Linked DNA regions of Tribolium castaneum. The protein of the gene in region 3 interacts with the protein of the main gene of each other region in a pairwise test. Links are inferred from orthologs where the notes say so. Each region holds a gene or a part of one and is shown on either strand. Other genes may lie near its edges.

Region 1 (6,346 bases), on a different chromosome or scaffold from region 3:
AAAATAATAAAAAACTTGAGAGGTTTTGAGTGATTAAATTTATGACTTCTACAAGTACTCTTGCTCCTATTTGTAGCGAATTCTCTCATTTTCATGGCACAGACCTACTGAAAATAAAAAAAATACACAAAATCGGTACAATGTGCCATTAAATCACCTGGGAATATTACAAAATGTAATTTCTTTGAAAAATATTTCCATGATTATAATTAATCTCTTTCAAAATTGTTACCTCCATATCTCTCCGGGGATTCATTATTTTACCTATTAGGGTGATTCAGAACTGTCACTACGTAAACTGACCTGACCTATGTTTTTATTATTTTGTTGTTATACCTAAATCAAATTCGACAGTTTACACCACATTTAATGTCAAACACTGCAGTCTTAAAAAATGTCATTTAATTTTGTAAAAAAAGCACTTTTTGTACTTTTGAATTATTCAAGTTCTCACGTGGTTTCTAAATTTAGATTAAAATTTTTTTTCTAAAAATGACAATTTAATAAGGCTTTTGATCTAGTCTCCTTGTATACAGAGAAGTACATTTAGGGGATTTTTGATGCATATCTTTATTATTATTTTTTTGAATCAATAACAATTCAGAGTATACTTTTCCAGAGATAAATCAGTGTGTTAATTGCCTTAAAAATATAAAAATCATTCAGAATAAAGAGAAGACGTCATTTTTTCGCCACATACATTTTTCGTTAATTTAATTTCATTTACAATTTCAACTTTCATTTTTCACACATATTTCAATATATGTTCTTTCAGCCCATGTGCGGAAAAGAACACTCCCGACAGCGTGGAAGTAATCCCCGAAGACCAAGAAGAGAGCGTCGCTGAAGACACAATGTCGTACACATCGATTTCCGAAAGCACCTCTGCCACAGTCCTCGACCAAGCATTCCTCCACCTCAAACCCCAAAAAATGCTAAAAGACACCTATAACACATCAATGCCCGAAAGCGACATTCCACTCAGTCCCGAAAAAAACCACACTTTCGCCGATGCAATCACAAGAGCACCCAGTCGAAGTGGCATGCATTTACCTCTAACACAAGTCAACCAAGTACTAATAGACACCCAGCCACAGAGCAGCAGACAGGACTTGTCCAACCTTTTGAAAAACACCAACATTATCGATATACCTCAGGAAGACAACGTGGAAGGACAAATCGAATCCTGTGATGAAGGTTCCCAATCTGACCGCACTGTAATAGCAAAAGACGGCGGAATGGACAGTAGTAGCGACACAAGTGTGACGGAAAATTCCGTTTATTTGAAAAATTTAATCGCTGATGCCATGACTGAAAAAAGCCCGGAAGTGCCCGATTGTGCAACGAAAACCAGCCATTTTATGGATTTGACTCAGAGTATGATCGACTCAAGTCAGGGAAATGTGGTTTTGGAGAACATTTCCATAAGTCAGTTGGATATGCCGCCTCGGGAAAATTCGCCAGTCAGTTCGGAAAGTCGCTCCGATTTGGTCAAAATCGGGTCTTCGGGACACACCTCTGGTGATGAATTGGAAACAACCACCTCATCAGATATTGAAATTATTTCAAGTCCGAACGGAGATTCGAGTAGTACGCAAAGTAGGCAAAGCCCAGCCAAGCAAACTTGCACGAAAAATAAATCAGACGGCACCAAAGTCGATCTTTTGTGCAAAATGACGATGAAAAAAGCCAAAGGCCACACTAGAGAATTGTCGGAAACTTCGAGCGTGAGCGATGATTCGCATTCATCCGAAGTTGATCGGCTTATCAAAAGGATTGCGGAAATGACCGAAATTTTGGAGTCCAGAGAATCGAAATTAATTGATATCAATAGGAGAAATGCCGAATTGCAAGAGTTGAACACCAACTTGCGACATCAGCTCGATTCGATGCTTACCAAGCAATTGGAAACTGCAGATTTGTCTCAAGTGACTGAAGAATATACCCAGCGTTTGTCCGCCTTAGAGAAAAAGTTTCAACAAGCAATTCGGGAAAAAGACACGCTGAGGAAACAACTGGAACAGAGCAAACAGGAGGCTGCCACTAGGCTCAGCAAAAGCGATTTGGACTCACTTATAAGCGAAAAAGATGAAATTATTAAGGAGTTGCGTGAGGAGGGGGAAAAGTTGTCCAAACAGCAGTTGCAACATTCGAATATTATCAAGAAGTTGAGGGCGAAAGAAAAGGAAAATGAGTCAACAATCAAACATTTAAAGTAAGTTTGCTCTGCGGGATGCAAAAAAATTGCAAATTATTCCAATCGTTTTTATATAAAATCATATGATCAAGCAAATAGATTATTTTAGTACAAATCTAAGAAAACACTACTTTTTAGGTGTTATCGAGATGTTATTCTTAAAAGTTCGAACTAAATAGTTATGCATAGCGTAGTAATTTAAAGTCGGTAACACACAAAAACGATATAAAATTAATAAACTAATAAAAAATTCAGTCGAAATTATTATGTTGAAAGGGGTTCCTGTGGTAAAATAAGAAAAGAAATTCTTATAGATCTATGTTCCGAATTTTTTTCTCCTGTTTGCTCTATTTTCTGTCTCCTGTTCCTTCTTTTTGGTTTAGCTTTTATTCCCTTCCTTTTGTACTATTTTTTATCTTCTATTCTGTATTCTAAGCTTTATTCTTTATCCGAAATCGGTATTGGCAAGAATATTTCTCTCTTCTTTCCTGTTCTTAGTCACGTATCTGCAACTTATCATCTTCTTTATTCTTTATCCAGTTTTGTTTGCCTTCCTTTCTCTGTTTTCTCAGTCAAAACATATGTCTACAGAAACTATATATGTCTACAGTTTTTTACCGTTTTTTTTTTTCACATGTACTGTTTTGTTCATTGTGGAACATTATATTTCTTTGACGAAATAATTGCTTTACCATCACCATAAGGACTTGACCAAATTTAAAAAAACAGAACATTTAGCTGTTTTTTTATTGCTATATAGTGTAAGAGTACTGTCCTGGGTAGAATAGTACCGTTGGTCACCTCATTGTAACATTTAGTTTTGGTAAAAAGTAAAAGTAAAAAGTCAAAAAAGTTCTTTCTCTTTGGGAAGCTTACAAATTTTTTAAATTAATTTAAATTCAACCTGCCAACCATTCGTTCATAGCTGTTTTGCTTATTTACTTACTATGTAGAAAAAAACTTGTATGTAACTGTTTTTTAACGCTTGCACACGACGTTGTTTTGCTCACTTACGGTGAAAATAATTATTTCCAGAGAAACAATTGAGGACTTGTCGTCTGAAGCTGACCGTTTAAAGCGTTCACTAACCGCAAAAGAGGAAGTTGAAAGGTCGCAAATCGAAGCAGTTCACCAGCTAACAGCAAAAAATAAAAAACTAGAAACTGAAGTTGATAAATTCCGAAGTCAGCTCGACGACCTCACACAAAAGTATGACACCGTGAAGAAGTCTTTAGACGCTGCGAAAAAAGAACTCGTCGACAAGAACAAGACTAGTTCTGAGTTAATCGCACGCGAGCATAAATTGGAGAGTTTAGAGAACGAAAAAAAGCAAACGGAGTCACAAAACGCAGCGGTATTTCGTGATAATTAACGCTTTTTGTTTAATACTTGTGCCCAATTTTAGATTCTTAACGAACTGGAGGAACTACGGTCAAAAATGCGACAACTCGATTTAGACTACGCGAAAAAAGAACAGTCGCTACGTAAAGAAAACAACGATCTTTTGAGGCGTTTGGAGGACGCTGAGGCCAGAAACGAAGAATTATCACAATCCGTTCTTGAAGTTAGTAAGCCTTTGGTGAGACAATTGGAGTCGTTACAAGCAACACATACGATGAAAATCGCCAGTTTTGAAAGAATTGAACAAGAAATGACGCTTAAAATAAGTAAAGTTGTAGTGTTTGCCTAATTTTTGTTTTGTGACTTGTATTGTTTCAGATGAGTTGCAAACTAGATTACAGACGTCCCTTAACTCAGAACGGACGGTCAAAGACGAGTCTGTGACTCTAAAAACTAGACTTTCAGATTTGGAATCGGAACTAAGTTCGCTTAAGCACCAAAACGAGCTGCTTCGAGTGGAAGTGGAGCAGAATAAAACCGAAAAACAAATCTCCGAACAGGAGTTAGGTCGTGAAATTAACGAATTGAAGGAACAGTTAGTGTCTGAGAGACACAAAGTGGCCGAGTTGGCGCAAAACGCGTCCAGTTTGCAAGAACAGCTGGAGAAATCAGCGAGTGAATCCGAGCGCAAGAAAAGCACTGAAGATGCGCCAAATTTGGGCCGAAACTCGCCGCGCACTGCGAGCAATTCGCCAACTTTAAGTCTGGGGAAAATTTCCGTGGCGGAATCGCTTGGAAGCTCGTTTTGGTCGCAGGTGAGGTGCGATTTTTTTTTAGCTTGTGTTGTATTTTTTTCCTAGGATGAGCCCTTTGACGGGGGACAACCGCCAAGGTACACCAACATGTTCGAGATGCAAATGCTTCAAACCAACTTGAAACAGCGCGACGGTGAATTGCAACAATTGCAGTGGGAGTTGAACCGGAGGGAACAAGAGAGGGCGCTCTTGAATAAAGAAATCTCGTCGCTTTTGACCCGTGTTGAGGAACTTGAAACCAAAGTCCAGGAATACGATGTTTTAAAAGGACAACATAGTGAGCTACAGCAACAGTATGATACTCTTTGCCAGTTGTTTGGCGAGAAAGTTGAAGAAAACGAAGAACTGAAGCTTGATTTGCAAGACGTGAAAGAGATGTACAAAAGTCAGATTGATGAGTTGTTGAAACAGCAAAAACAGAACTTGTAAAGTTATTATTATCCAGCGTGTACAGAGATGCTTTTATATGAATTTTTATTGATTAGATAAGAGATTAAAGTGTTTGTTGTTCTATTGCGGTTTTTATCATATGGGAATATTACGTTATCAGTTAACACATGCTGATATTTGGTGTTTTGTCATGGTAAGGAATATACTTCACTTAAAATTTAACCTGTGATATAAATTATAGCCTCTTCAAATTATTGTACAAAATTCCAACTGAAATAAATGTTGTGTTTACGCCAACTTGTTTCATTTCAAACTTCCCGCCGTGGGCAACTGTCAATGTGCAAAAGCACCAAAAACGTGATTGTTGTGCCAGAAACGTACTAAAAATTGATAACTGTGCAAATTTAACACGTTCCGGAACCGTTTCATGTTCAGTGAGTTTAAATTATTCATAATTTTACACATTATGTATTTATCAAAGTGCCGTTTCTTTTTAATTGTTCATTTGCGCCGATTTCTCCATAGCTCTAGTGGCGCAATTGGTTAGCGCACGGTACTTATAAGACAGTAGTCGTGAGCAATGCCGGGGTTGTGAGTTCGAGCCTCACCTAGAGCACTTTTTTTTTCAATAATTTTCTTTGTCTTTTAACGAGGAACGATAAAATAAGCGAATTAGTAGGTGTGGAATTAAGTTTAATTATCACAATACTTTATAAATAAAGGAGGGTCGATTTATTAAATAGTGTTAGATGGCTGGCTCATGGGATTTGCTTGAGGGGCGGTAGCCTCACGTGTAACAAGTGATACAGCATTTTGTAAAACTTGTTTCCTGAGAAAATTTGTGGTTGCGGAACTTAAGCTCTCACTTGAACCCACTTTACATTTAAAATACCCATAGAAATTGGCCCCATTTAAAGCCAACGCTATCATTATGAGCAGCTAAAACAAAATTAATGAAACCCAGCTTTTGGAGGAACGGAAACATTACCATCCACTTTAGTTTTAGCCAAAACAAAGCAGTTATGAAAAACACGCCCCACAACAGGGGGGTTATAACCAAAGCCATCCAAAATATTCTCGCTTCTCGCTCGTTTACACGGTTCTGCCACCGGCCCTGAAATGGGCCAAATGTTGATTCAGTAAACAAAGCAAAAAAGCCAAATGAAAAGTTAAGCAAGCAGTTAAACCTTGCGTGATTCAAAGACCCAGTGCGACTTTCCGTCATCGTCCACGTAATTCCACCATCGCAAGCCAACCATCAGACGGCCTGTTATGTTTTTGACTGTCCAAAAGTCCATCGATAATAATAAAACTACCGTTACAAAACTTGCGATAAAACTATCACTGAACCATTCGCACAACAAGTACGTTACTATAGACGCCCCCCGAAAGGCCAAGTGGAAAAATGTGACATAAGGGTGTCTGAAAGAGACAGTAGGAATAGTTTTTCGGGTAGTGGCCTCACACTTACGTCAGGGACCCCTTGACACCACTATCACCTAAATCATCACCGAATGCTACTGTGTCATCCTCCAATAAAGGCAACTGAAATCATTTTGATTTAAATTAAGGCAAATTTAATGTTTTGAGCTGTTTTTACCGT
Region 2 (5,366 bases), on a different chromosome or scaffold from region 3:
TTTATTATCTTTTTGTTTTATAGGCCTTGGCAAAGTTCCAATCTAGTCATAAAGTAACAACTAAAACTGGAATAGAAACGGAAGAATCCCTGCTATCTGAATCCGCCGCGCGCGAAACATCGCTCAATTCCCAAATAATCGAATTGGAAAACGAAATAAAGCAGCTGCGTCATGAGTTGGACCGCGTCACCACCGAGCGAGACCGCATGCTGCAGGAGAACACCGATATGGGCAAAGACAAGGAAGATCGAAGCATGGAGTGCAAGAAATTACGAACGGAACTCCGCGAAATCAAATTTCGAGAAAATCGTTTGATCAACGACTACGCCGAGCTAGAAGAAGAGAACATAGCCTTACAAAAACAAGTCTCAGCTTTAAAAAGCTCGCAAGTGGAGTTTGAAAGTCTAAAACACGAGATCCGGCGACTGCACGAAGAAATGGAACTGTTGAACCTCCAGGTGGAAGAGCTGACAAACTTGAAGAAAATCGCCGAGAAACACATGGAGGAGGCCTTGGAGTCGCTGCAAGCCGAACGTGAGGCCAAATACGCGCTGAAGAAGGAACTGGACCAACATATTAACCGAGACACGTTCTACAATATCAATAATCTGGCGTACAGTATTCGGGGAATGAGCGATGAGCCGACTTTGGGGAGTGACGGTGAGGACGATATTCCCGGCTTGAAGCGGCTGGAGGCGACTTTGGGGAGTGGAAGTGCCTCAGAATTGGCTTCGCCTGACGATAAACAGGTCGATTTGTTCTCCGAAGTCCACTTGAACGAACTGAGAAAGTTGGAAAAGCAGTTGGAACAACTGGAGAAGGAAAAACTAACTCTGACACAAAATTTGCGCGATAACCAGGCAATGGTGGAGAAGAGTCAAGGCGAACTACAAGTTTTCATTGCAAGACTGACACAACTGGCGGCTCATGTCGATTCTTTGCAGCATTTGTCGCAGAATGTTGACAAAAATGTATCCCAACCGGCACAAGAGGCTGGTAAAATTCTAAATCAGTACCAGCAGTGGTTCAAAATGTCCTGTAAAGAGATCGAACAGCTGAAGCAGGATATTCGTGAATTGGAGAAGTTGACGAATATCTCAGACGCTACCCTACAGCTGCGCACCGAAATCACGAATTTGAAAAATAAGTTGTCGGATACGGAGCAGAGGAGTATGGACTTGGAGGCCGATTTGAAATTGTTGAGAGAGTTTGCTAGTGAAGCTGGAACTTCATTGGATGAAACTCAGAATAATTTACAAACTGTTACTGATGAGCTTGCTCAGTTGTACCATCATGTGTGTACTGTTAACGGGGAGACGCCCACGAGAGTGGTTTTGGATCACGAGAAGGAAGGAATGACGCCTAGTAAGTGGCTTAGTTGTATAAAACTAAGAGGCGAAACGGTATTAAAAATTTTCGTACTCAAAAATATTTCGTTTCGGCACCAAATTGTTTTAAAGTAATTGAATCCCTTAAATCCTGACCTCTTGTTATTTAAAATTAAATTATGAGAGATAACTTTGACCGAAAATTAAGTTGAGTTTTTTTTTCTATGTATACCAGTAATAATAATTCTTGCAAAAAGTGCGTTTTTCTTACGAAAAATTAGACACGAGAAACGAGACTTCAAGCAGTTTTAAATTAATTAAAATTCAACTATTATTTTCATCAATTGCTTGAAAAAAAAGGGAAGGCTGTGGAGAATCAAATTCATAATAAGCTGAAAAAAACTGATGACTAAAATTCCGATACAATAAACTCTTATATGGCGTTTTCATCCAAACTATAGCATAACTCGTTCTTTTGAGCCAGAATATGGCGTTTTCAGTCTGTTGACTCATTTCTAAGCAAAGAATCTTTCGAAATAAGCCGTTTTCATCTAAATTAAAACATAATTTGTTCTTTTGAGTTAGAATATGGCGTTTTCAGTGTGTTTTATGAAGTTTTCTCCGTTCTAAGTAAAGAATCGTTTGAAATAAACCATTTTCATCCAAACTATTACTTAACTTTCTATTTTAAGTCAAAATATGTCGTTTTCAATCTGTTTTGTGTAAGTTTGCTTACTTCTAAGCAATAAATCGGCTAAAATAAGCCGTTTGTAGGCATTTTAATTTTCTATAATTTTGTCCTTTACACTTATTAAGCTTCTCTACGAGTATAATGTTAAAAAAATTATCTTTTATAAAGTCGTTTTACACTTTAGTTCGTTACATTTATGTTTAATTGAAATAAATAAAAAATAATTCTTTTATCGTTATGATTACGTATTATGTTTAATCACAAATTCGAAAAATTTGTTCGAAATAGAATACATTTAGTTATCTCTGCGTAATTTCATCCAACCAGTTATTTAATTCAGCCGGTTCACTATTTATTTGGAAAAAAAGAAAGCTAACGACTAAAATTTTCCATGGAAAACATGAGAAAAAAATGATAAACTAGTAGAGTTAAAAATACAATTACTAGAAAATAAAAATAATAAAATCTTTTTTAAAAAAAGTCTTGGCCACCATAAGATGATTCGTTATCGGGGAGAAGCAATTTAAATCAAAAGCGTCAAAGATGAGATATGTGTTCTTTACACGTTTTTTGTTATGAAAAATAAAGTTCAGAGCCAATAATAATAATAATTGCTAATTTGTAGTTTTTAAAATATTTATCTGGTTGAATTTTTGTAATAATAATCATTATTTATTTATTGTATTAAGGATTGGCTTATAGAAGAATTAATTTAATCCGCAATTAAATTGCTGATTAACTGATCACGTAAGCAGATGCTTTCATTCACGAATTTAATGTTTTATCGGACTTCAATTTTTTGTCTCATTTTTATTTAAATTCGGCCTTTTTATGTAATTAAAATGTCGAGGCCAGGTCACGGTTTAAATTTCTGATTTTCAGTGTCGGAAACTGCGCCACCAATTGGCGAAATGTCCAAAATCGAATTGTTGCGAAGCCGCCTCAAGAGCGACATTCCCTTGCACGATCTTGAAGTCTTAAATGACGCGGCTGTTGTCGCTCGAAATGTTTGCACCATCGTGGACCAAATCAAACATCTCCGAAACGCCATTGAAAATACCATCGAATTATCGAAAACAAAGAGGGAAAAATCGAATGGATTATATGAATGTGAGTTAGGTAAAAAAACAGTCAGTCATTTTGTAACACTTTTTATTAGCAAGCAAAGATGAAAACAGCGAAGAAATCGCCGAATTACAAGAGCAAGTCATAAGATTGAAGAGTTTGCTGTCGACCAAACGCGAACAGATTGCCACGTTACGAACCGTCCTAAAATCAAACAAAAATACTGCCGAAGTGGCACTGACGAACCTCAAAGCCAAGTACGAAAACGAGAAAACAATTGTATCCGAGACGATGATGAAGCTCCGAAACGAGTTGCGAATGTTGAAGGAGGACGCAGCCACATTTTCAAGTAAGGTGGATTTGGTTCAGTTTAAATTTTACGAAAATTATTAAAGGTTTGCGTGCGATGTTTGCCGCCCGTTGCGAAGAGTACGTGACGCAAGTCGACGAGCTCCAGCAGCAGTTGAGCGCAGCCGAAGAAGAGAAGAAGACTTTGAACCAGCTGTTGAGATTAGCCGTTCAGCAAAAGCTGGGTCTGACTCAGCGGCTCGAAGAGCTGGAGGTGGACAGAGAAATCAGAAACGCACGTAAGCCAAACAACCGCAATTTTCAGCGCCCTGGACGGTCGAACAGAGACATGTTCTAGCGCAGGTCGAAACCTGTGGTTTACGCGATTGCATTTATCACCACATTCTTTAAACTTTGAAATTTCTAACACTACACTTTAATCGGCTATAACGTAACGAATTGTGACAATTCACAAAAATTCAAGTATTTTATTGTTTATTTAACGAAATGTGAGGTAAACTGTGCATTTATGTGTTTGGTTTGGCGACTTTTTATGCATACTCAGACTAATTTATTCTACTTGTATTGGCTAGTACTAATTTTCGGTTTAGTAAAGTGGCCAATTAGCTGCCAAAAGTTTCGTAATTCAGATTTAGTTATAGATTACGTTCAAGTAGCATTTCTAAGGTATATCTCTTGATTAATAGTGGAATATTATGACGGTAGAGTAGCCTATACTTGGATTTAATTATGAAATGATATATTTATTGGTAGATGTGACCCATATTTCGTGTGATGTATAGACTTTAACCATGTTTTAGTTATTAACATATTTATTTAGTCTACTTAGTCCTACAAGGGATTCATGCAATATACGTTAGTTAGTCATTCTTTGGTGGTGTGAACTAAAATAATATTCGATAAACCGCTAGTCTTCGAGACTGGTCACGGTGGCGCTACGCTCGAGGGCATTTCGTCTCGAGAAAAATTAAAAACTGCGTACATTTATTTTCTAACTGTGGTACTAAAATCTAATTGTTACGGTTTATAAAAAATAGTTAAAACTTGTTAAGACGTAGGCTAAGAATAATATTGTGAAGTGACGGCGAATTGCCGTCATTCTAATAGTAAATATGATATCACAATTCGTCTTTTCCGTTGGTTCTGAGTCCATATGATAATCATGAAATGACGTTTGTTGATTATTTGTCCTGTTTCCGAGCCTATGGACCACGGAAATGCCCGTCCCTTACAATAATATAAAAATCCTTAATGTTGAGAATGAAATGTGCATGCTCTAACACTTATATTTTTGTTACTTGGTACACGTACCAACAGAAACTTAGATCTTCTGTTTGTTTCGTTCGTCAGACAGCTAACCTGTTATATTCTTTTTGATATTTATTGTTATAAATTATTTTAACATTGCTTATATGTGGTTAATGTTACTTAATTGTACCTAATATTTTTAATATAATTATTACTTTATCACAAGGACCGTTATTGCACCCATGGGAATGTACAAAAAAACATGCGTAGAAAAGATATATTTATTCTATATTTTCAAAGAAATCACAAAAAATATAGTTCCTCTTATTACAGTACGTTTGCGTGAATTTTAATATTTTTTATTAAACAGCATACAAAAGAAAATGTAAACATGAAACAGACATGAGTAAATATAAATAAGTCACGTGAAATGATATGATACCTCCTAGTAGAGAAACAGAGAGTAATAATTTACTGTGAAGTTGGAAGAGCTACTTTACGATTGAAGTGTCTTTCGCAAATTTGTCATTCTGCGTATTTACATAATAGATGTACAAACTATTGTGCAAAATGACTAACATATTTACAATATACATTACATAAGTTTGCTATTTATCTATTGATACACACACTTCATAAACAGCAATAGTTCCACAATAATAAAACTGGAAGTGGTAGTAATGAAGATTTTATTAGAAAGTATAAAAACAAAACTGAGAACACAA
Region 3 (6,267 bases):
ATTACAGTACATTCTTTAAACACCTTAGAATCGCAATTCTGGGCCTGGGAGCTGGTTAAACATCAGGCGCAATGCTAAATCAACAATATTTATATTTATTTACACCATAAAATTTTATTTTTAAATATTTGCCCGATTGCGCCCGATTTAACGACTTCATTTAATCTTAGAAAAAATATTGTATACAACTTTCGGTTTCAACAACTAATGAAACAACATTCCGCGCAGTCACACTTATTTAGGAATTATCATCGCTATTACACTGTAATTAACAATAATTTTAATGGTGTTTAACAAGTCCAAATGACTCCCAGTATCGTCGAAACTCTTCTTAGTTCGCTCGCTATCTTGTGTATTTGATAAATATTAGGTAATTGCGATAATGTATCGATTCAATGAAACCGTCAAAAGTGATTCGTTGAAGTGGAATTCCCGGGTTTGGTCCCGGCTGACGATTATTCGATTTGATGCAGGAGTCTGATATGTGATAGAAAAGTAATTTTTCCCTCCTGCTTTATTTCCATAAAGGCCGACTTGCTGATGAACCAATATAAAGAGCAATCAAAGAGTCGATATTACATCACGTGCTGGTGTAACGAGGTGATCAGTTCACTCGAATTTCGTTTATACGGCCAATCAGGTGCAAGCTTAAACGATATTTTCTGAGCAATTAGCCTGATCTTTGATTAAAAAGCCGAAAACCACACAACTCACCTCTTTGTCAATTTCATTGTGGCCCATCCGAGCATTGTACAAATTCGAAAACCAGCTCTGGACCGACGCGAAAAAATTACTCCTACGCATTTTAACCGAAATTTAAAAAAATCATTTTGACGGACCTGAAACGACACTCTGAATCAAGTTCGGTTAGTTGCAAACAAAATGTTAATTGCCACACGGAGGGTTCGCCCGCTTTGACGAACTTTTCGATTGATTTCGATGAAAATTTAAGATCGGACTGATTAAAATTGAATTAATGGCCTTTGGGAAATAACCGGGTTGTGGGTTTTGGGCCTTTTTACTTAATGTGCTTCGGTCAGAGATAATTCTCCGCTCTTTCACTCTCATAAATATTATAAATCAATTTCGGGCTAAACATGACTTGATGAAAAGATAGCTGAAATTAATTTGGAAAGTTTAAAACAAAACGCCGGTGTTGATTAGCGAAGTTTGAGACTTCGCAGAGTATCGTTTGTTATATTTATTCGAGATGTCAAAGAGGACTGACTTTAAAGGGAAATATGATTCACCTAAGTAATTGCAGGAGACTTTTCCGAGTGAACTCAACTCCTCATCTCCTATGATTCAGAGCCGAGGTTGTTTAAAGGTGGGCACTGGAGCCGTATCTTGTACAATATTATCTTTATTTGCCTATTAAACACACACATATAATCTGGCAAGGTATAGGTATCAATAAAATTTGCCCTTACAACTCCCGAGCCAATCGAAACGTAGTCTTCAAGTTAATCTAATATCTTTATGAGGTTTAATTGACTACAAGGGGCCCCTCTGCGTCATAAAAACCGATGTGATTTCTGAAATACGTGAGATAATTTTTATCAATCCAGCTCGCAAAAACAGCCACACGAATGCCCTCCAATCCCGAATCAATTTCCTAGACCGTCCTGGCCTAATTAAAAGGGATCTGTTTACGAACGGCCCATTAATTTAATGGCACATAAATCCAAAACCAAATCTCGAAATTCCACCGCAGCCAAAATTTTGCAGGTTATTAAATCCTCTCACACAACTCGTCACAGCCACACAACAAAAATAACCCTCCCGACCTTCAAACCCAAAAACTGATCCCAAAAACCACCGATTTTCACTTACGTGTACAGTATTTTCCTGGAAGTGCCTAAAATTTAACTCTACACGTCCAATGCACACCAACAGAACTGCACTATGCGAGGAGGCGCCCCAGGGAGGGTGGACTTCGGGCACCGGGACCAACCGGTGAATAACCACAAATTTACGATTTCACAACCCCAAACAATTCGATGGTCTTCCCATTGGAACACCTTGGGCCTTGTCCAACTTCCCAACTGTGAAAACTGGGGAGTGGAGTAGGGATATAAAGCAACTGAAGCGCATGCTGATTCAGACCTGCCAACCGACCATCATGGGCACGCACACCCAGGACGCCGCCACGACGTGGGGCCCCGGCCCCGGCGCCCGAAAGGGCCGCCTCCAAGCAAAAAACCAAAATTTTGACCAAAGACTGCGGAAACAAAACCAGATTTTGAACTTGTAGCCAACTTAATACACCCGTTTAGGGGAATTTCGTGGCAATGCCACGCGCACCAATTTCAAACCCAAGCTTGCAATTTTGAATTTGAAAGTTATTAAGCTACAAATTGGCACCGAATTGTTAATTACGAGCATTTTTGGCCCGGACTGGCATTGTGAACGTTTTTGTCCCGATTTGTTTTTTCGCGCAAAGTGCGGGTGGATTAAATGGGCTTTTTTGCGGGTTAGTTTCACGAATCGGATCAGTTTTTTGGGGCCTGATTATTAGTCCAATGTAAAATATTTATGATTTTAATTTTTTTGGTCACTCCCAAATGTAACATGCGCAGTGTTGCAGTCACTTCGAGTCGCTACCGTGGCGTATTCTGTCATTGGTTTAGTCGGTACAGTTCGTTTTCCTGTGATATTTTACTGTGAAATTCGCAATTTGCAGGGTTTTTAAAAGAATCGTTAAGTTTTTAACAAAAATGTCGACGTCAGGAGACTTTGGTAATCCCTTGCGAAAATTTAAACTAGTTTTCTTAGGAGAACAAAGTGGTGAGTGTTGACGTTTCTTGATGAGTTGTAAACTTTCAAGCAGACCCGTGAAAAGATCAATAAAAGTCATGTTTCGCAACATTCCTCCTATTTGTTTTATAATTAATCGATTGGCAAACGCTGGACGAGGCTTCATTTTTCATATCGATTTTCCCGACTTGACCACTCGTCATCCTACATGACAGATCATTTCTAGGTTATGTTTTGATAAAACTGATAACTTTTTATTCAGTGATCAAGCGCCCCAATTGATTGTTCTTTTCCAGTTGGCAAAACGTCGCTAATAACAAGGTTTATGTACGACAGCTTCGATAACACCTACCAGGTGAGTCCCACGGACCATTATCACCCAAATGTAATATTAAACCGCAATTACGCTCGGGGGTAGCGCCGTAAATTCCGCAAAATCGCCAAAAATTAAGATGTAATTAGATTCGCCGCCCCAGCCACGAGCCCGGTTTTAATTAAAACGAAATTTGCTAGGGCTCTAATTACGATTTAAAAGTTTATTGATCGAGTTCCGCGAACATCCCTAAATAAGTTATACCGGCTACCGGTGGTAAGTATTTACAAATCGTAAAAAATAATCGATACGGTGGGCCGGGCGATTTCGATTGTCGTCCCACACACACCTACTTCTATTTCGCTTGTATTTGGAATTTGATAAGTTTTGCGGTTTTGTAAGTCAAGGTGAAGGTGTTTGTGAAACTGTGTTTTGTAGGCGACTATAGGAATTGATTTCTTATCAAAAACAATGTACCTCGAGGACAGGACCGTACGGTTGCAGTTGTGGGACACAGCCGGCCAGGAGCGATTTAGGTCGTTAATACCCTCGTACATTCGTGATTCGACCGTTGCTGTCGTAGTTTATGACATAACAAGTTTGTATGAGTTTCGGGGAAAGACCGGCGGTAATGAGAGATTTGCAGATGCCAACTCCTTTCATCAAACTTCTAAATGGATCGACGACGTGCGGACGGAGCGAGGCAGCGACGTTATTATAATGCTCGTCGGCAATAAAACAGACCTTTCTGACAAAAGGCAGGTCAGCACGGAGGAAGGCGAGCGGAAGGCGAAGGAGCTGAACGTCATGTTTATTGAAACTAGTGCGAAAGCTGGATATAATGTTAAACAGGTACATTGCTCCCGCGGTCTCGCTGTTTATTGAATTTGTTGTTTAGTTGTTTAGACGTGTGGCCGCCGCGCTGCCGGGGATGGACTCGACGGAAAACAAACCACCAGAAGACAGTATCCTTTCGCCAGTGCATGCGCATGATTTTATTTTGCACAATTTTCTTTTATTTTCCTTAATGTTTTTCTTAGTGCAAGAGGTCGTGTTAAAAGACACACCGAACGAAGTTAAAGACCCAGACGGAGGCTGTGCATGCTAAACAACTTTTTTACTTATCAATATTTGTGTAGACCTTACAAATATGACAAATTCTGGAGCGACTGACCATAAGTTGTACATATTGTCGAATCGGGGTTTGTCCTCTTAATTAAAGTATTGCCTTAATTGCTTAGAAACTATCGTAATATTATTTATGTGTAAAATATAATTGGTTTAGATATTCTTCGTTACATTTATCGATCAGTTTTATTCAGTTGATACAACGTTTACTAATATGGTGCTTATTTACAAACTAATCGAGAAGGACGCCGTTTATTTGGCTCAATTATCGGACATTCATGAAACATATCACATAGTTTAAGCCATTGATAATCGGTTCAAATAAATGTTGACTGTCGCCGTGCCTGAGCAAATCAAACCAACTCATCGGTTTATGTGTCGACCTGCAATATGATATCCACGATATTATGTAAGCTCAATTTGTGATGACGAAATTAGTGTTAGCACATTCCTTCAAACTGCGGATAAATCATTTTAGTGTCATAACGCACAATGAGATTGGCCCAGCTTTAATCCATTACAGAGAACAGCTTGCATGTTAGTCCGCTGCTTGCTAATTAGTTCCTTCTGTACATATTGACCCAGCAATATTGGATGTTTATACTTTTTTTAATATAGTAAAACGGTGTGTAATCTTAATTGCATTCTCAATCCAGGGGCTAGTCGCAGACGAGCTCCAAATGGGTACAAAGCGGTGCGATTAGTTTTAGGTTTATTGTAGTAATTTATTGACAAGCATTTAATAAAGTTTTTCGTAATGTGGATTGTATGATTTGCCTCAGCATGATTGTAGTGCATGTGCGAGTCTGGCCAGGTTTTCCTTAACAACGGCGCAGCGGTGGACTTACAAACGCAGCCTCAGCTTCAAAACGACCAACATGACTCAGAAGGGGGCTGTATGTGCTGAAAACCTAGATCTAATTGTTCAACAAACCAATTTAGTTTAACTAACAACCAAAGTAGCCTCTGCCTATGTTGACGTTGAAAAGCTATAAGTGTGACTTTATTTGCAATTGGCACTTTATGTGTGGCATGGAACATCCACCGTTACAATTAATTGCATTTCATGTAACAAGACTTTAAACTGTGTACGAGGTGATCTCTCATTTTTCTATCAAATCATTTTGCTTATTCTTTTCTTGTCGGTTTTAAGCTCAATCGTGTTAACATATATGGACATGTAAATCAAATTATAGCTTGGCATTGATGATGTATCATTGCACTTAATATTACAATAATTACAAAAGTCTGATGTACATAAACCCTCATTTCGGGATGCTATGGCAACTTCCTCAGCTGACATTCTGTTTGTTACGTTGTTATGTACCATTCAGTTTTTATCAAAAATAAATACATTTTAAAAAGACTCTCCTTAAATAACCCTGCTAACGCATTCACCTTCCAACCGTTTCTTCTTAGGCCTGTTTAATATTTTTTAAAGTAAAAATTCAGCCATCATGAACTGTGACTAAGTAAACTAAAGATGAAGCTAAAAATTAAAATAAGTGTCTTTCACAAACACACACATGGCTATCCAGTGAGCGGGAAAATTACAGAATAACGTTTTAAACTGGAAATAATTTGTTTAGACAAAAATGGAAACCCCCTAATTGTAATAATTTTCATGTAACATGAGAGATAGAATAACATTCCAAAAAATCAAAAGTGAGATTATGCAGACGTCCCTTAGCTGTAAGCCGTAACGGCTTCACCATACCGAAGACGTTCATTATTCAAAATACAAAGTGTTGCTGTTCTAAATAAAGTTAAGCATTTTGTATTTTTTTAAAAGAAAATTGACCTGTTCGAGCATTTTTGCTAAAAAAGCTCGCATAGTACAAAATACATAGGGGAAAAGATACAAATAATTAAGAGAAAAATATAAAGAAATGCCGATTTTTCTCATTTTCTATATTAAAGCGAATAGTAAATTATCTTATACATTCGCAATTTCAAATATTACCAGTGATTCACTTGACAAGTGAAATAATGAGTAATTTTGCTGAGGAGCAAAATAAAAGTCCTGTATTGCCGTTATTTCGCAGTTATTGCATTTGATTCCAATTATC
Region 4 (5,546 bases), on a different chromosome or scaffold from region 3:
CAATTTTTAAATTTTTCAGACAGAAACACAATTTTTTACATTTTTCAAAAAGAAACGATTAAAAAATTAATGAAATGTAATTTAGATTAACTCAATTATTTTGAGAAATAATATTGCTAACCGAGCCAAAATTTTGGTAAACAATGACTTTTGGGCGTTTTTCTAGGTTTTACAGACAGAAACACCATTATTTTGAGAAATTTCGTAGAAAAATTTGCTGACAAAACGTCAAAACAAGCGTTTTGTAAAACTATGAGACGGAGCGCAAATATTCTATTTGTCGTGAAAATTTTAGTCATTAGTTTTTCTTAGTTTATCAAAAATTTCATTCTTTTTTTTCTTTTTTTCCTCGCCCCACTAATTTTTTTGATATAGAAAATAGTGCTATTTTGTACCTTGTTTAGTCTTCTAGTATTAGCTCTCCGTAAGTCAGACACATTATTTTTATGCTTTTTTGCAAGATTTCATTAAATAAATAAAAGTTAAAAACTACGTTAGTACGAGTTTTTCTAAAGTTTTAATTTGAACGTCTTATACATTTTCTTACCAATTTTTCGCATACGCTGTATGCAGTTACAGTTGAAACTGTCAGATATCTTATAGCTGGTCTTTATCCAATTAATTAATTGGATAATTATAACTCAATTATTCAAATATTTGAATACAAACTCAGTGGCGTCATCTGAAATATTTTAAAGTATACAGACTGTTGCAGAAATCCGTTATGCTACCGATTTTCTTTTTAAAATAAATAAGAATTTTGCAAAATGTTATACAGAAAAGTTGTTGTACTTGATGAGTTTTATTACCTTGTAAAATTAACAGACGTATTTTTGATATATCCTGTATATTTATTTATTCATTATTTCCTGAGAATCACGTATCTTATGGATTTTTTTGAATGAAACAATTTTGTACATTTTTGGATTTAGCTTTTGATTAGTTTTTCTTAAATCTTTAACAAAAACGCTGTTTTATTTTGTTTTTATTTATTACACAAACTGATAATAAAAGAAATTTTTATTATTTTTAAATGTTTTGTTTTTTTGAACTTTGCCTAACAAAAAGAAAAAGCGGTTTGATTTTCCACTGAAGGTAAAAATAATTTTGGGCAGTACAATGTATTAGCTATTTCAAAACTATAAAAACACCAACAAGATTGTTTAAATTGTAAAATAGTTATTAATGATTAGATCTCTCATTGAAAGTATAAATTACATCAGATATTATTTTTTTGAAGTGCATAAATAATTTATAACAGTTAATTTTGAGAGATTATGCGACGTTAGCGTTTTTATAGTTTAGGAACAGCTAATATAGTATATATTTTACAAATTGTTAAATAAAATACTTCACCAACTCGCTGTATATTTGTGTACGTTTCTATTTTGCATTTATTTGCTCTTATTGTGGCGGCTTGAAGTTATTGGATTGTTTGATTGCAGAGCCAGGAAATTGCCACCGAAGGCGAGCTTCGAATCCAGTCGGTCGACGATAGCGATCGAGTTAGAGAATTGCAAGATAAAGTGGCTGATCTTCAAGCCGAGGTGAGTTAATTCGTGTGATTGGGTTGCTGGATGGTTTTATCACACACACGATGTGAAAGAAAAAAGCACTCGCTTTTGCTTCTTCATCATACTAACGTGTACAAAAAATTGCTTCACTGGGGGGTTAATATAGTGTGTGCTAATGATATTTATTTAGTTTCCCACGCCTATCACTAGTCCGGATACTGAGCCGTGGAAGTGGCTCGAGTAAGTGAAATCTGATGTAGCTTTTGGAGTAGTTTGGATGTGGTTGGGGTGTTTGCATGCTTGGTGTAAGCTCGATATCGATGTAATTATTGTACTTTTATTCATTTTAATAATTATGTCCTACCTTTAATTTTTCGTGTCGAAAAAGTCTGAACAAATGTATTATGAAGTGCTCTGTTGGTACAATTTTTAATATTGTAAAATGAATGAATAAAAAGGAAAATTATTAAATTGCGTCATCTCTCATTTGAGATGGGAAACAAACATAAATCTTTACCTTTAAAGTATTTTATACATATTTGTTAATTTCTTGACCTTTTTCATAACAGTTTTATTTAAAAAAGAATATAATTAAACGATTTCTGTCTCTATTGTTTAGTTACGTTCATTATCTTCTTTATTTATTGTAAAAAACACGTAATTAGCTTCAAATACATTTCGGTTTGATTATGTTGTTCCAGGTAAATTGGCTTCGATAAGGCAAATAAGTAGTTAATTAGCCACTGGAGCTTTTTGTTAAAGACACCAAATACATGACTTTTTTCTGCTGTTTTTTTTTTCAAATACATTTCTATTTGTTTGACGGAAAAAAGATACGTAGTCACATTGAAAAATTATTAGACGACAAAAAAATTGCGCTAAATTATTGTTTTCCACTTTAAACATGTTACATATCATTTATGTAATCAGTGAATAATTTTTCTGCAAATTTATTTAAAGAAACTGAGAGTTTTTAGAAATTTACGAATATATAGTTTTTAACATAAATAACAATTTTTTATTTTTACAATGAAAACAGAAAACATACAAAGAAATCAATTTTTCACGCCAATAAATGCAAATGGGCTGTTGCAAAATTCTACCAAGAACTGAAATGGGATATAATACGTCTTTTTATATAAATCGTTGATTTTACTTAGAATTACAAATCAAATTTATTAATTTTAAAAATTAAAATAAATTTAATCACAATAATTTGCCACCAAACATTATAATTCGGTTTAAAACACTAAAAATCATAAAAAAGAAGAATTATTTAACTAAAAATATGTGGGTTTGAATTATTTGGGTTCATTTTAAAAGTAAAAAGGTCTCGTTGTTATTTTTATTTTATTTTAATGGTATCAGTTTCATGTTTCTTTTATGTTGACCTTGCTAACATGCGGCATTATTACTATAGAGCCGAAATAAGCTGAAGAATTATACTGATAACACGAAAAAAAATAAATAGAAATGAAATTCTACATTCAAGCATTTATTTATTGATCGATTAGTAAAGATTAATGGACTCATTCTAGACTACATTTCAAGAGAGTTTACTTCTTTTTTTAAAGATTTTTTTGCACATCAATCCACGGTTTTCTGGAAATGCGTTTGAAGTTAATTAAAATTCAGAACTGTTTTCTTCTTCTTTAGTTAAGACCCTCGTGGTGCTAAACATAAAAATTCAAGGTTAAAAAGCATTTAAATTTTTCAATCGCATCGATATCTTTTTTTCTGAAAAATTATTAATTTTTAAATAACTTTTCCCATTTCGTTTCCGAATTACCCTTAAGTCCCTGTTCACCTGGTTAATTTAAACTTAAAACTGAAGGGGTTAATGGATGAAGAGGCTATGTGCCTAAAACTATTTTTTACACTACGCGCTTTCATGGTTTACTAAGTTAGGACATTATTAAATAATATTATATAATATTAAATAATTATTTAATAACATTATATAATATTAAATAATTGTTTTGTTCAATAAAAAAATAACTAGTTCCAGTTAGAATTAAGTTAGATGTGTAGTTCATTGTTTTATCCATAAATTTTGAGTATGATTTTTTTTTAAATAAAGAAATTACATCTACCTGCACAAGCTTAATTAATTTTAATATTTGTAGATTAATTCTTATCGAAAATAAAATAACTATGAGTTTAGGATGATTATTGGTAATTGAGAATAGGGCTTCAACCATTTTTTTCCTTTAAAGCAATTTTAAACTTAAAAAAAAATTATATAAAAGTACATGTTTGGCATGTACCACATCAAACTATAAAATGATTACACAGCGTATTTCTTCTTCTGGCATCGAAACAAACTTAAAACGCCGCCAAGTGCTTCCAAAAATAAAAGAATTCATTTTTGTAGAATATTTGTCATTTTCTTTAGCAGCAATAACGAGCTCGTAATGAATTCAAGTAGTATGTTTTTGAGCTCTAAGAACTTTAGAAAGCATATTCTAATCGTTTTCAATGTAGTTTATGTCGAAAAAAACCAAGCAGGTCAGGTTAAACGAGCTTTCTATGGGATGAGTGCACAAAAACCCTTATGAAATGAGTATTTAACCTTTTTTATACTTTGCGCATCCTTTTTTCTTATTTTAATTAATTTAAGTTTTGTCGTCTAGGGAATTTTGTGTCAGTTGTTAATGGTAAAAAATAATAAATAAAGAAGAAATGATGATTAAATCGATGTACTTGTATTGTATTCCACGCATTATCGATGAAACTTTTAAAAGCTAAATATCCCTAAATTCGTTAAAGTACACTGTACTTCAATGAGCCTACTGATATATACTGATTATAAACACAAAGTATAAAAATAAATTTTGTAATACCTTGTCCATAGCTTCTTTAGCAATAACTAACTCGAAATGTTTTAGAAAAATACAAAATATCGTGTTAAGCCTATTTTAATTAAAATATACAAAAATCTAACATGGAACCTTTCTTTATGTTTATGTCCATACTGTTCTAAGATTATCGGTAAACAAATTTAAGTTAGAATAAAAAAATGAATTTTTGATAAGACATTTTAGACCTTTATATAAGAAGAAAAAAAATTCTCAAATGATTTTCTGGTAGTTTCGAGCTTTTTTATCTTTCCATCAACTGAAACCGTTTTTAAGTAACGTAAATTGAATGAAGAAACACAAGAAATATTGAATTTTGAGAAATTAAAAAAATATTATGAAAAAACATCATCATAGCTAAAAACCGAAGGCCAATATAGATTCAGAAAAATTTAAATCTTTTATAATCATACTAATTATATTTAAAAGAGGATTTGTTGCAGAACAGTGTTATCTGTCATTATGAAATATATGTTTGCATTATTGAATAAATTATAAACTAAAGATATGAATTTTGATACATTCCTATGCCTCGCGATTGCAAAGTTTAATTAGTTGTAATAAAATTTAACGACGTGTTGCAACTTTTCGTTTAAATAATAAACATCATCAGGCTAAGAAACATAAATTTTAAAAATACAATACAGGGGGTGTTCGCGAAGTTGAGGCGTTCCTTTTAACACGAGACACTATGCCTTATTCTTAAGAGTTTTAGCTTAAATCGTTTTAATAAAATGTTTTTAATAACGGAGATAATTTTGAAATAGTATATTTATACAAAAATAAAACTATTTGTAGAAGAATAATTTTACATTTTGTGCAGGTACGTCAACTGTTGAGTATTTACATACCTAATATTTACACAATTTACTCAATAAATTCACCTTACTTTACTCTAGGCAAATTTTTTTTCTAAAATATAATTTATCTAGTCCACTGCAGTAGTAGGAAGTTAGAAAAATTAATAAATCGATTTTGGGACATCGTCTTAGATAATTTTTGATAGTTAATTTGAAAAGGTCTCCACAAGCAGAATTCAAGAGAATTCTAATAGCAACGGTAATATAATAATTCATAGTGGAAAATGCTTATACTGATTGAGACCTAATAACACTAAATAAAAAACGTGAATTTTAAAATAATTTATAGAATCTGGTACTGGTTTGTTCTCATT
Region 5 (6,306 bases), on a different chromosome or scaffold from region 3:
CTTCATGTCGGCCAGGCGCAGCTGGAGAGTCTTGATATTCTTGAAGGAAAAATGGTTGTAGAAATATTGCAACAATGTGTAAAAGAAAGCTTCTTCTTGATCAGCTAAGTGAGATCACCATAAACAAAAAAAAATCAAGACAAGTACTAACAGAAAAATTCGTTTAGAGATAAAAAATGCAATGAACAAAACTGAAAATTAAATTTGCTTCAAATATCTCTATCACTAGCTCAGTTTTTCGAACCCATTTAAGTTTTAAGACCAATGTAATAAAAAATTGCTGGCCTGAAATAATAGTAAGCAGAGGGAAAATAAAACAGACAGTACCTTATTCGTAGCATTCGGAAAATTTTAAATGTTATTTTTTTATCAACTAAATAAATTTAAAACAATCTGGAACCATCTTATGCTTTCCACCTTATAATTTGCGAACGCTGGTAACACGCTTGAAGTTTAAAGAACAAAGTTGTAGAGAATTAAATTTTCTACAAAAAGATTTTTTCTACAAAAGACATATGGTCTTGCTGACTTTTTTGTAGGAAATTTAATTTTCTACAGTTTTTTCTTAACATTTTTCTTGTATCTGTAAACGTATTGGCAGCGTTTTGAAAAATATGGGGTTGAGTGCAAATTGGTATATTTTTGAATTTTTTTTAAATATTGTTACAATAAAATGTTTGCATTATGTTTATCTTTTTCTATTGAGAATTTAATGCTCTATCTGCTTGTATTTTTTCTTTGCTATGTGTTAACGATTACACAAATACAACCATTTTTTAAAATTCGTTGTTCTGAAGAAGGAATAAGTAGACGATAATGAAACAACTGATTAAAGAAACTATGGAGGAAAAGAACGTTTTATTTGTACCTAATTTCATATCCTAACCTTTAGGTATCCGTAGTTTAAAAAATAATAACGCATTCTCAATTTTTTCCAAGTACTGAACAAGTTGATTTAAAATTAACTTAAAATAACTTGAAGCCTTCCTCAACTGCAATAAATTTTTCTCAACAAAAAACTGAGTTATTCTGAAGCATTTCTCTTAGTTATAATAGATAATAAAACAAATCAATTTTAATCCATTTATTTTTCCCACACATTAAAATAAAGTAATACTTCCATTGTTTTGTTGTTAAATAATTTCACAAAACATTAATAACTTCAATGGGAATTTAACTGGTCCATAAAGATTAAAGCAAATTATCAAACCTCTTAATTCGGGAGTTATTGATAAACTGTCATTATAAGCTTAAAAATTTAAACGAAAAGGCGTGAACATTAAACAAACACATTTTTATCTTTATTTTTTACGTTATCACGGTTGTATAAATATAGAAATTTACCACTTTTCTTAAACATTTTAAATCGGGCTCCTCGTTTCGCGTTATAGCTCCATAAAATAGATTAAAATAGAAACATAAACAATTTCGCTTGATCAAAAAGACGCTTTCTGTCACAGTCTCAATTTTACCTTATTTTTCTCCGATATTTGATCTTCCAACTCCGCGATGTTATTCCTCAACTCCAGTTCCATCGCTTTACTCTCGTTATGTTTCCTACTCTCCTCTTCTAATTGACTCAGTTTGCCAAGCAAGTCGTTCATTTCTCCCTCCTGTCGCCTTTTCTCCTGCTTGATTATCTCCATCTGTTGCGAAACTTCAGCATTACGCAACAGTGCCGTATTTTTCTCAGCAGTGACCCTCGACAAGGTTTTCTGCACATTCAACGAATTCGTCTTTTCTTCGCTAAGTTCCTTCTCCAACTTGGTTATTATCAGCCTGAGCGAACTGTTCGCCTCATGTTCCGAATCCACCGAGATTTTCAATTTGCTACACTCTTCCCCGGTCCTGTCCAACTCACTTTCGGTGTTCTCCAGATTCTTGCGAACGACCTTCACCTCTGTAAGGGCATTTTGCTAGAAATGAATCCACGGAATTAATACAAAATCATTGGCACAAAAATGGGGCGAGGATACACATAGAGGGTTAACCCGCACTAAAAAAAATACAAAGTATCGTGAAAAATATTTATTTCGTAATATAAAAACAAAAGCGAAATAAAATAAAGGCAAGTAAACCAAAGCGTGTTAAGTAATGAATGTTAGGTCCCAGGGATACTGATACAAAATAAATATAACAAGTGTCGGCAAACGTGAAATAAAGTGAAAGCCCCGTTATTTATCGACTCACAAGTTGGGTCCTGAGGAACGCAACTTCCTCTTCAGATTCAGACCGCAGAGCGTTCAGCTCCTTGGACAACTCTTCAACATCCAAAGTCAATCGCTTGATTTTCGTCTCTTTATTATTAATTTCTAGTTTATTACACTCTAATTCCGCTTCCATTTGCCGCACTTTCTCGGCCAGGGTTTCCTTCTCCTGCACCGCCCGCCGTCTCTCGCTGCCTTCTTCAGCCGCCTGTCTGCTCAAGCGCCCCACCTAGTCGTCACAATTAAAATACAAAAAACAGGGCATTGGTCAAAACCAAAACCTGGGTCTCTAGCGAGGCGATTTTATCGCTCCAGGAGGTCTTAATGTCAGCTAGGTGCAAATGCGCCTCTTCGAGCCTCTGCTCCAACAGGCGCCTCTCAGAGGCGACATGTTCGTCGTCTGAGGTCTCATTGGCCACTCTCTGTCTCAAAACAACAACAAGGTCGGACAAATGACGCCTTTCCTCCTCGCTTTTGGCCAACTGGGTGGCCAAAGCGGCCAAATCGCGCGAACTGGAGTGTCTCAACGACTCCAAGTCGTCCTGAAAGTGGTCGGTTAATAAAACAGTGCTGGAAAAAGCGATATAACACAAAAGCCAAAAGCACATACCTGTGATTGCTGAAGCTCACCAAATAAAATAAAACAAGTGCGAACTCTGTTGGAAATTAAAACACTTGAACATAAAATTAATTTCGAGACACAATACACGTCGGGGGAGTTTGGAACGGCTGAGAAATGAGTGAGTTATTACCTGTAAATCACTTAATTGCTCCTCCTGGCGGCAGAGTCGGGACACCTCAGTGCGGAGTTTCTCCAACTGGGCGGTGGCCTCCTTCAAGGCTGCCGTCTTCTCGGCCAGCTCTTGCTCCCTCAGTAACACCAAGTGTTTGACTTTGCTTAATTCCTGAGTTTGGAAGTTTTCAATCTGCTCTTTGTCCTCCTGGTGCTCCACCAACTTCTGCTTGAACTCTGTTAAAACAAGCGGTTAGAGACAATCTCCACGTTTCACGCCCAAACCTTCGGCGCTTTTCAGCGTCTCTCTGAGCATCTGGATTTGTTTTTGGGCCTCTTCTTTCTCCTTCTCCAGACTTTGCAACTGCTTGTCCTTCTCGGCCACTATTTCCCTCCATTCTAGTTCCTTCTGATCCAACTTCCGCGTGAATTCAGCCTCGATTTTCAATATTCGTTTGCGTAGCTCTTCAGAATCGATAGGGCCATCCTCCTTAACACCGTCCGACGATACGAGGGAGTTGATGCTTGAGGAGGAGCCCTGGTGCGAGCGCCCCCTTAACGAGTCTATTCTCTGGACCGTGGAGGAGGTTATTTTCGCGGTTAGTTTCGACAGGTCGCTGCCAGTTTCCTCCCGAATTTTGTTTTTCAGAGAGGCAAACATGTTTCACGCACTGGAGCTATTTTACGGGCATTATTGAGCACTGGTTTTGCAAAATGTGGCAGAATTTTCGAAAATGTGAACACAACTATTGGCAAAACGGTCGGGTACGCGCATTTACACGTATTTGTTGATAATAACTGTGATAATAATTAACAATTTTATTAGTAGTTCACCGACAGGTGACAGGCAGGTGTGACAACAACCGCTGACGTTTGCACACCAATCGCGTGCGTGTCCTGCAATTAGTCAGCGAGTTGCAATAAAAATAATGAGCCAAAAACTATGCAAAAACTGTCCGGCTTTTAACAGCAATCTAATCTCAACCTAAAGTTGTAACAAAAATTTTCTAAATTTTTAATTTGGTATGGCACACAAAATTTTATAGGTTACTGTAAAGCTGTACTTTTAATACCCAATGTTTAGATGTCGTCGTTTATGTTTTGTTTGTTTGTTTTCAAAGTTTATATTAAATTTTGTTTTTAATTTTTTTGTTTATTTAAAAAAATATGAAAAACAAGGCTTTAAGAACATTTAGAAGAAAACTACCATTGCAATTTTAAAACTGTTTTTAATGTATTACAGGTCACTGTAATCTACTGTTTAAGAAAACAGCCCATAGTTAGCACAGAAGATTTTATAGGTTACTGTAAAACTGTACTTTGATATCCAATGTCTAGATGTCGTCGCCTAGATTTTGTTTATTTTAAATTTTTTGTATAATTTAAAACTTTTATTAATTTACAGGTTACTGTAATTTACTACTTTTTAAAAAGTCATAGATGTTTTTTTTATAGGTTACTGTAAAATTGTACTTTTACACTTAATATCTAGATGTCGCCGCCTACGGTTTTTGTTATTTTATTGTATAATTTTTTTATAAAATAAACTGAAAATTTTAAAAATCTATTTAAATTTTCTTTCACCTTTCCAAATTTTTTAAAAACTTTAAGAAAATTTGCAATTCACAAAATGCGAAATATCTTCGTTCCTGTTAGTGATGGAGGGGTGGTTCTGCCCTTTTGAAAACCCCACTGCCTTGTAGTATTTTTCCTGGGCTATCGAATAGGCTAGGTCCCGTTCCCGTATCTCCACCAAGAACCGAGATAGCACTGCACATTTTTAAATTGGGAATCGAAGTACATGACGTAATAGTGCTCCAAAAGTTACGTGTGCATGCAAAATTTCAAGTTGCAACAACAGGAAGTGTCCCAAAATTAACTCGCAAAATATGTTTCCAAATAAATCGCATTAAATAAAGACTATGAACAAAAAAGCTGAAGTTTTTTTATTAGAGTTTTTATTCAACTTGCTTTGTTTGTTGTCTTTCGGAATTATAAATATTTTGAACTTAAAATTAAAACACTTCCTGTTGTCGTAGCAACTTCAAATTTTGCATGCACACGTAACTTTTGGAGCACTATTACGTCATGTACTTCGATTCCCGATTTAAAAATGTGCAGTGCTATCTCGGTTCCTGATGAAGATACGGGAACGGGACCTGTCCCATTCGATAGCGCAGGAAAAATACTTCGGGGCAGTAGTACGGTGTGTTGGGGTTTTCAAAAGGGCAGAACCACCTCTCTATCTCCAACAGGAACGAAGATATTTGGCATTTCGTGAATTGCAGATTTTCTTCAATTTTTATAAAAATTTTAAGAGTGTGAGAAAATTTTAGTTGAAGTGAAACGATTTTGTAAAATTTTAAAAATTGATTTCGTATCAGGATCACAGGAACGCAAAAGGGTAATGAGAAAAGATATATAACTCAAAATACACGCATAAGTATAACTGGTTGCGTGCAAACGCCGCCAAAAATTTCGAGACCTCTTTGTGTTCCTATGATCCTGATACGAAATCCATTTTTAAAATTTTGCAGAATTTTACCTAAGTTTTCCTTCACTTATCAAAATTTTTATAAAAATTGAAGAAAATCTGCAATTCACAAAATGCGAAATATCTTCGTTTCTGTTGGAGATAGAGGGGTGGTTCAGCCCTTTTGAAAACCCCAACACACCGTACTATTTTTCCTGCGCTATCGAATGGGATATGTCGTGTTCCCGTATCTCCATCAGGAACCGAGATAGCACTGCACATTTTTAAATCGGGAATCGAAGTACATGACGTAATAGTGCTCCAAAAGTTACGTGTGCATAGTAGAGTATAGAATGTTACTTCTGGGCCAGAACACTTGACGTCTTAAAAAACAAGTCAGAACCTTACAAATTTAGCTGTTTGTCCAAAAGCAAACAACCGAATAGGGCCTAAAACCTCTCAAAAATCATTAATTTTTATCCACCCCAAAAGTTCCCAAATATGTGTAGGCCACTAAAAGTTGGGCACACGAAAAACAGGGTAGAATCCTACAAATTTACTGTTTTCCCAAAAGTAACCATCCGAAAAAGATGTAAAAAACTTACAAAATGCCTTGATTTTAGACACTCCAAAAATAGCTTTTCATTTCTGGACCAAGCCAATTGGCGCATGCAAAAATCAAGTAAAATTACCTCAAAACCATTGTCAAAATGTCTAGATTTCACACACCTCAAAACAGCTTTTCATTTCTGGACCAAGCCTATTGGCGCATGGAAAAAATCAATGAAATACAACTTAAAGCGACTTAAAATCCTCGACACTCCAAGTAAAATTACTTTAAAAACCAGGAAAAACCTTTATAAATTCCCTAGTTTTTAGATACCCCAAAAATA

The links.
Region 1: the proteins of Rab6 (region 3) and Tmf interact in a two-hybrid assay, tested with the Drosophila melanogaster proteins (2 studies listed by BioGRID). The link is inferred for Tribolium castaneum from reciprocal best matches to the Drosophila melanogaster genes Rab6 and Tmf.
Region 2: the proteins of Rab6 (region 3) and BicD interact in a two-hybrid assay, tested with the Drosophila melanogaster proteins (3 studies listed by BioGRID). The link is inferred for Tribolium castaneum from reciprocal best matches to the Drosophila melanogaster genes Rab6 and BicD.
Region 4: the proteins of Rab6 (region 3) and Evi5 interact in a two-hybrid assay, tested with the Drosophila melanogaster proteins (2 studies listed by BioGRID). The link is inferred for Tribolium castaneum from reciprocal best matches to the Drosophila melanogaster genes Rab6 and Evi5.
Region 5: the proteins of Rab6 (region 3) and Golgin97 interact in a two-hybrid assay, tested with the Drosophila melanogaster proteins (2 studies listed by BioGRID). The link is inferred for Tribolium castaneum from reciprocal best matches to the Drosophila melanogaster genes Rab6 and Golgin97.

The regions. Positions count from the first base shown.
Region 1 is NC_087394.1:35,284,921-35,291,266, forward strand, and holds the end of Tmf (TATA element modulatory factor), read left to right. Parts: intron 1-775; coding exon 776-2,215; intron 2,216-3,232; coding exon 3,233-3,551; intron 3,552-3,602; coding exon 3,603-3,864; intron 3,865-3,916; coding exon 3,917-4,353; intron 4,354-4,398; coding exon 4,399-4,782; 3' UTR 4,783-5,034; downstream 5,035-6,346. Other genes in the region: uncharacterized Golgi apparatus membrane protein-like protein CG5021, read right to left, coding at 5,479-5,682, 5,732-5,857, 5,931-6,165, 6,215-6,288, 6,344-6,346.
Region 2 is NC_087396.1:19,858,399-19,863,764, forward strand, and holds the end of BicD (protein bicaudal D), read left to right. Parts: intron 1-23; coding exon 24-1,365; intron 1,366-2,901; coding exon 2,902-3,129; intron 3,130-3,178; coding exon 3,179-3,433; intron 3,434-3,479; coding exon 3,480-3,730; 3' UTR 3,731-4,866; downstream 4,867-5,366. UniProt on the Drosophila melanogaster protein: This protein is essential for differentiation. It may play a role in localizing of Nanos (a maternal determinant) activity in oocytes. Functions redundantly with BicDR.
Region 3 is NC_087403.1:1,773,718-1,779,984, forward strand, and holds Rab6 (ras-related protein Rab6), read left to right. Parts: upstream 1-2,571; 5' UTR 2,572-2,717; coding exon 2,718-2,787; intron 2,788-3,053; coding exon 3,054-3,112; intron 3,113-3,508; coding exon 3,509-3,668; intron 3,669-3,716; coding exon 3,717-3,922; intron 3,923-3,968; coding exon 3,969-4,035; intron 4,036-4,110; coding exon of another isoform or gene 4,111-4,178; exon of another isoform or gene 4,179-4,957; intron 4,958-5,034; coding exon 5,035-5,105; 3' UTR 5,106-5,562; downstream 5,563-6,267. Other genes in the region: beta-arrestin-1, read right to left, coding at 715-804. UniProt on the Drosophila melanogaster protein: Protein transport. Regulator of membrane traffic from the Golgi apparatus towards the endoplasmic reticulum (ER). Mediates membrane trafficking during egg chamber growth and organization, possibly upstream of exocyst component Sec5.
Region 4 is NC_087394.1:12,670,961-12,676,506, forward strand, and holds part of Evi5 (ecotropic viral integration site 5 ortholog), read left to right. Parts: intron 1-1,445; coding exon 1,446-1,547; intron 1,548-1,704; coding exon of another isoform or gene 1,705-1,754; intron 1,755-5,546. UniProt on the Drosophila melanogaster protein: Functions as a GTPase-activating protein (GAP). During border cell migration in the ovary, acts as a GAP for Rab11 and is necessary for the maintenance of active receptor tyrosine kinases at the leading edge.
Region 5 is NC_087398.1:7,123,436-7,129,741, forward strand, and holds the start of Golgin97 (golgin subfamily A member 1), read right to left. Parts: upstream 3,824-6,306; 5' UTR 3,602-3,823; coding exon 3,226-3,601; intron 3,178-3,225; coding exon 2,960-3,177; intron 2,750-2,959; coding exon 2,489-2,749; intron 2,437-2,488; coding exon 2,191-2,436; intron 1,917-2,190; coding exon 1,473-1,916; intron 105-1,472; coding exon of another isoform or gene 40-104; coding exon 1-39.